Linked DNA regions of Macaca mulatta. The main gene of each other region encodes a partner of the protein of the gene in region 2 in a complex. Links are inferred from orthologs where the notes say so. Each region holds a gene or a part of one and is shown on either strand. Other genes may lie near its edges. The genes, in order: UBE2J1 and OS9.

Region 1 (3,824 bases), on a different chromosome or scaffold from region 2:
ATCCCCAGAGTTTGGAAATAAGATTTAAAAAGAAAAGTTGCTTATAAGACCAAGAAGTCTACCAAATCTTCCAGATGCTAAAATCTAACTATTTGATTTAGCAAATATCTGCGGAGGGCCTACTCTGGGGTGTGCTAGGGTAAAATATGCCATAATTTAATTAGCATAATATGTCTGAAGGGTGGTAGGCAGCAGACTCCAGAGCAGAAAAATTATCAACATCAAAAATTAGGTATCAGCGCTACTCAAAGAGGGGCTACTCTGAACGGAAGGACCGATCTTGGTTATATAGACAAAAATACACCTGCACCTGAAAAAAACAGAGAAGGCAGCACTTCTCTGTTTGTGATTGCCCCTGGGCAATCACAACTTGATAGAGAAAATCTCTTTTGCTTTATTCCAGATCACTTATTAAGCACTTGCTATGAGCTAGATGCAAAGATGGATAAAGTGGATTCTCTCCCGGCCCTCAAGGGGTTTGTAATCTTGTGGAAAGCTACAAATAATTGCTCTGGTTCTTTTCCATCTGTAATTCCATATAAGTGGAAACAAATGACTGGTATTGTTTTCCAGGAGAATATATCTCCCACTGTATTAAAAAAAAAATAGTGAAATAGTATCAACGACTTTTTAAGACTAGATAGCATTAAATAAATTACTTAGATTCTGGTCACTCCAAGGAAATTATTACAACTGAATTTCTAAAAGAGCAAAACTGAGATAAGATCCTGTAGCTACAGTCGCTCAGAAAGTAAGTCACATAGTAAGAGGCAGGCCCTACCTCCTAATAGCCATTACCCTGAATACCATTCAGACCTCAACAAGAATGAAACGCAAAACTTACTTTTTGGCAAGTGCTCTTCTTTCCTCAGGAGTGTAATCTAGAGAACCTATGGCTCCCTCTCCTTTTGTTGGCATAAACCCAATGATGGCTAATAATGCTGTCCTTACTGAAATAAAAAAGTAAATATCAATCTAAATTGCTTTGTAAAAGCAACTGGGTTTATTCTGGAAAAAGAAAAAAAAGAGAGTATTATACTTCATAACTATGAATTGACTGAAGTTATAAGAGATTTATATTCACTATAAATTAACACTTACTACTCCACGAAGGCTGCCAAGTTTCAGGATGATGTCCTGAGATGCTCAAACAGATTTTCTTGCCCACTTCAAATCGTCCATTAGCCTGAGGAATAAACAATACATCTAGAAAATTAAATACATGTGTTTAATGTTTATACTTTCTAAGTAAAAATATACTATTTATATATAATAATTTTAGAAATTATCTTAAAAAGATTTTTTAAAAAAATGTAACCTCTAATGGGGCACAGATTTTTTTGTCCTTATAGACTCCAAAAATACTTGTTGGATGCTGAATAATAAAAGCTGTTGTTAGAAGGTGTTTTACAGCACCTTTTGAAACTGAGTTGCACAACTGAAATCTAAATAATTAACACATAAAGTTTTACTGGCCAGCGAAGTGGCTCACGCTTGTAATCTCAGCACTCTGGGAGGCTGAGGCGAGAGGATCACTTCAGGCCAGGAGTTCAAGACCAGTTTGAGCCACCTAGTGAGACACTGTCTACAGAAAAAGAAAAAAAAAAAAGAAAGAAAATTAGCCAGGAGTGGTGGCGTGTGCCTCTAGTCCTACCTACTTGGGAGGCTAAGACAGGAAGACTCCTTGAGCCCAGGAGTTCAAGGCCACAGTGAACCATGACTGCATTGCTGCATGCCAGCCTAGGTGACAGTGTGAGACCCTGTCCCCAAGAAAAGAAAAGAAAAAAAAAAAAAAAAAGAAGAAGAGAGGAGTATCAGCTAATACTTGTTAAGCAGCTTCTATATGTCAGGTACTTTATGGTGTGATTACAATTACCAAACACAAAATTCCTTTTGACTGATGAGAAAACTGAATTTTAAAGACATTATGTAACCCACCCATAGTGTAATGGAAAGAGCACCAGTCAGAATCTAGGCCTACTGGCTCTTAAACAAATGCTCTCTCTGTTATACAAAATAGAGGTAAAAGTAGCATTAATTTGGTATTTATTGACGAATACCTGTTGTTTCACCATTTGCTACTCCATGTGGGTCAGATGTTTAACTTAGATAGAACAGGATGAAGACTGAGAAGAAGCAGTGAGATTTCTCAAACTAATCTCTGAGACTGGTGTAGTTTCATGTTTCAACAGGGCACTATGTGTGGAAGGTGGACTGCAGCAGGCTACACTAGAGAAAGGATGCCTTGGAGGTTACCAAAGAGAAAAATAGGCACAGCTTAAAGTGGTAACAGATACAGGGGAAGGTTTTTGTGTTTGTTTTTGCTTCTTTCAAGGTTAGGGGATAATTAAACATAGTTAAAATTAAAGGAAATGAGAGAAGAAAAGCGTAACAATTGAAGAGGAATTAGATCAATAGTTTTCCTTGGCCAGGTATGATGGTGACTAGCACTTTGGGAGGCTGAGACGGGAGGATTGCCTGAGGCCAGTAGTTCAAGACCAATGAGACCATGTCTCTACCAAAAAGCTTTTTAATTAGCTGGGCACAGTGGCATGTGCCTATAGTCCCAGCTACTCAGGAGGCTGAGGTGGGAGGATTGCTTGAGCCCAGGAGTTTGAGGCTACAGTGAGCTATGTTGGGCCACTGCGCTCCAGCCTGGGCAACAGAGCAAGACCGTGTCTCTAAAAAAAAAAAATTTTTTCCTTCACATGAAGAAAAGACATGTAAAGTTGGAGAGAAAGAGAGAAATTCTGAGATATAAATAGTAATAATAATGCTAACACTTATTGAATACTCTGTGTCAGACTCTATTCTAAGAGCTATACAATAAGATATTGATACTTTTCATCCCACATAAACTCAGTGAGGTAGGTATCATTATTCTCTTTGTAAAGATGAGAAAACTGAGGAAGAGAGTGTAAGAAAGGTGGGAAGTTGAAAGAGACAATGTGATTACAAGGCACAATAACATTAGCTAACCTTTAGTGAGTACTTATGAAGTGCCAGATGTGTATGCCCAGCGCTTTTCATATATTAATTCATTGAATCCTAACAACCATGATGTGACATTTATGCATTCAGTTGTATCATTTTTACTTCTCGGATGCATCAGCTTCCTAGGAATTATTTTGGAGGAAAAAAATTGTAGTCCCAGGGCCTGGACCCCCAAAAGCAAAATTATACTGTTCTAATATTTCTTAATGAAAATGATTTGCTTACTATATTTTGCACCTACTAGGAAGAGTTAAGTCATGAGCATTCTAAAAATCCAAAATTCTTACCGTTAGGAGAATAATGCTTGGTGGTTTCATGGGATACTCTGGTGGCAGTACTATCCGCCCATGATAAACTCCTCCATCAAAATCGGAGTCTGGAGGCCCTCTAACCGTGAAGTGCCATTCAAAAAGGTTATCCTGAACAAAAACAATAATCCACAAGGAATTAATAATATTAAAAAGTTTGATCATTTTATCTCAATATCAGAAATATTACCAAGCAAGAAAAACTAAATGCTTTATATTATTGCTAGTATAGTTTCTAATGTATGAGATGTCTTGAGAATGTAAGTGATAAATTAAATTTATAAGTGAAAGCTACTTAATCTAGCTTTCATGTTCCATTGAGCTAAAATCTTTTATAATAAACACATTAAAAATTTCTGTTATATATTCATAACTTACAGGTTTAAATTAGAAATTAATCCTTAAAAGAATAGCAAATTATTATAATTATATAATCAAAAAATTACTATGTTTGGGTTATTTTAACAAATCTTTAAAAATTAATCCTTATAGATACCTAAGAGCTTATTTATAAAATGGTAA
Region 2 (3,157 bases):
TGATCATCCATTGTGTGCCAGGCAGAGTGCTAGGTACTGGGTGTACAGGAGCAAACCAGAAAACAGGCAGACATGCTCTAAAAGCTGCTTCCCAGAGGGATGAATAGGAGGTAAGCACGCAAAGGGATGATGGTGATGGGAAGCAGGTGCAAGTGAGGACAGTGTTCCAGAAACCGGGGAGAGAATAAGCACCCTCAGAAGGGAAGGAACAGGGTCCCCTCTGGGAATAGGACCAGCTGAGGGATGAAAACAACGGACTGGGCTACTCCTTCTTGTCTGACTGCTCTCACCTGTAGGTTGGGGTGATGGAGGAGGTTTTTTGGGGACAACCCTCTTTTTCTTGTGCTTCTTCACCAGCTCTGGACTCTGTTTTTCCTCCAGTCTTTTGATGAGTTTGTTGAGAGTGGATGTCAGAGCCAGCATTGCCCGATCCCGCTCTGACTCCTTCTTCAGTCCATCTGGGTCCAGCTCCTTCTCGGTCTGGAATACCCAAGAGAAGAGAGTGAGTCAAGGGTCTGGGGCGTGGAGGCAGCCAGCGGGCTGGGCTGTGTAGGAGAGTCTGATATTTTGAAATGGAGTTTTGCTCATCACCCAGGCTGGAGTACAGTGGTGCCATCTCGGCTCACTGCAACCTCCGCCTCCCGGGTTCAAGAGATTCTCTTGCCTCAGCCTTCCAAGGAGCTGGGATTACAGGTGCCCATTGCCATGCCTGGCTAAGTTTTTTGCATTTTTAGTAGAGAGGGTTCACCATGTTGGCCAGGCTGGTCTTGAACTCCTGACCTCAGGTGATCTGCTCGCCTCGGCCTCCCAAAGTGCTGGGATTACAGCGTGAGCCACTGTGCCTGGCCAGAGAGTCTGATATTTAAGTCTTGTGCCTCTCTCTGGTCCCCCTTCCCCAATAGCCCCGATTAATTAGGGAAACAGCTATCATTTCCAAGTGCCCCGTCCTTGCCCTGTGCTGTGCTCTCTGTTTCTTTTAGTCCCTCAGCCTGTCCTGCTTCACGGGACCAGGCGGCTGTGGAATTACAGGAGGAGGAGCTGGGCTTGCCTCCTGGATGATGTTCTCCAGTTCCCGCTCCATGCCAGCCTTCACCTCCGAACGGAGCCGGTCTCGGTCTGACGGAAGCAGGATCCCTTCCAGTTCCTTCTCAAATTCTCCCAGTAACTGCTGTTCATCCTCATCTTCATCCTCATCCTCATCCTCGTCCTCCTCTTCTTCCATTTCTCTCTGCCGTTCTGGATCACCCCTTTCCTTCTCCTCTGGTTCCCTCTGAGGGACTTCTGCAGCATCATCCACAGGCTGCTCTTGGCCTATATTTGGCTTCCCCTGGGTGGGTAGGGAGTGGGGAGAAAGAGGTAGACAGTTGGAGTTTCAACAGAGACACATGGTGGGGGGCAGACAAATAGTAGCAGGTGTGTGGTACTGGGGGACCCAGGAGTTGAGTCCCAGGTCAGCGTAGGTTTTCAAATGCTCGCAGTTGGGAGGTGGGTTCTACCCATTCCCTGAGCATGGCCTATACCTTTTTTGTTCCACCTTTCAGCTCCTCTATGAATCGAATCAAATCTGCAGGGCTTCGAATGACTTTGACCTGCACGTTGTTCTGAAAATCTGAGATGAAAGAGTAATAATCATGAACCAGTTCTGTTGTGTTTAAATTTTTTTTTTTTTTTTTGAGACGGAGTCTTGCACTGTCACCCAAGCTAGAGTGCAGTGGTGCAATCTCTGCTCGCTGCAACCTCTGCCACCCGGGTTCAAGCGATTCTCCTGCCTCAGCCTCCCAAGTAGCTGGGATTACAGGCGCCTGCCACCACGCCCAGCTAATTTTTGTATTTTTAGTGGAGATGGGGTTTCACTATGTTGGCCAGGTTTGTCTCAAACTCTTGACCTCAGGTGATCCACCTGCCTCAGCCTCCCAAAGTGCTGGGATTACAGGCATGAGCCATCGCACCCGGCTCTTTTTCAACATGGAGTGTTACTATGTTGCCCAAGCTGATCTTGAATTCTTGGGCTCAAGCAATCTTTCTGCATCAGCCTTCCAAGTAACTACGATTACAGGTGTGCGCTACTGCACTCCTAAGTGCTCTTTGGATTCCTAAGGACAGGTAATGAGAGACCAAGGAAGGACACGGTCCCTGCCTCTAGGGTTTACCTGTTAAATAGTGAGACAAGGGCAAACATTCGTCTGCAGAGAGCACTGTTCTAAGGTGGACACTCCGGTAGGAGAGATGGATGCCAACAAGCTGCTAAGTCCCCACTCTTCCATGCACTTCTGAGGCCTTTCTGGCAGTCACTCCAGCTTTTAGGACTACAGAGGAGATCCTGGGGCTAAGGACTTATCTTCCCTGGAACCCTTCTCCTCTTTCCACAAATATTAACCATTTAGTTTATTCAGTTCCAGGCCTTCTACTATGAATTATGGATGCATTCTCATTTAATCCCGTGCAACTCTCTAGGGTAGGGGTTATTACCCTCATTTTATGGGTAAGAAAATTGAGGTTAAGTGAATTACAAAGTCACCAAGTGGTGGAGCTACTGTGTTCTGCCACCTTGCTAAAATAGCAGTGCTGTCTACAAAGAGTATTAACTCCTGTAAAAATGAATTTGCTGCTGGCCTGGCTACTCAATCTCCCTCCCAGTGCTTAGCTCTCCCTTCCATCTCTATCCCTGCCAATCCTAAAATATATATGGTAAAGGAGACATGGAAGGTTCACTCACCATTGGGAGCACCTGGAGCTGAATCTGTTGCCTCAGGGCTTGGGTCCTGCTCCTGACAAGGAGAAAAGGAAAGAGTCAAGTATGAAAGCCTGTTCATGCCCTCCATACTATGAAGGCAAAGGTTCTGGGGATATCCTTGCATCCCTAGGTAGATGTAGGTCACCTCACAATGACCTCAGCTACAGTGACCCTCCCCATTCCCATCCCGCTCCTCTGAGGCAGCTGGTCTCACCTCAGCCTGCATCTCCTCCCCTCCTGGGGCCTGGTCCTCTGGTTCATTAAGCATCTTCCAGAAATCTGAGTCCTTACTGTCATCCTTGGTCGGGCTCGCACCTAGGGTACAGAGAACAGGGAGACATTGATCTGACAGGAGGGGTGAGACAGAAAGGAGCAAATAGGATGGGGTCCCTTCCCCTCCTCTATCACCAAGGGATGAGGGCC

Evidence for each region.
Region 1: OS9 (region 2) and UBE2J1 share a complex: the UniProt entries of both Homo sapiens proteins name them as parts of the HRD1 complex. The link is inferred for Macaca mulatta from reciprocal best matches to the Homo sapiens genes OS9 and UBE2J1.

What each region holds. Positions count from the first base shown.
Region 1 is NC_133409.1:96,648,443-96,652,266, reverse strand, and holds part of UBE2J1 (ubiquitin-conjugating enzyme E2 J1), read right to left. Parts: intron 3,414-3,824; coding exon 3,282-3,413; intron 1,187-3,281; coding exon 1,102-1,186; intron 951-1,101; coding exon 845-950; intron 1-844. UniProt on the Homo sapiens protein: Catalyzes the covalent attachment of ubiquitin to other proteins. Functions in the selective degradation of misfolded membrane proteins from the endoplasmic reticulum (ERAD) and is essential for cells to recover from ER stress.
Region 2 is NC_133416.1:64,895,702-64,898,858, reverse strand, and holds part of OS9 (protein OS-9 precursor), read right to left. Parts: coding exon of another isoform or gene 3,050-3,157; coding exon 2,949-3,049; intron 2,769-2,948; coding exon 2,717-2,768; intron 1,610-2,716; coding exon 1,521-1,609; intron 1,328-1,520; coding exon 1,049-1,327; intron 481-1,048; coding exon 291-480; intron 1-290. UniProt on the Homo sapiens protein: Lectin component of the HRD1 complex, which functions in endoplasmic reticulum (ER) quality control and ER-associated degradation (ERAD).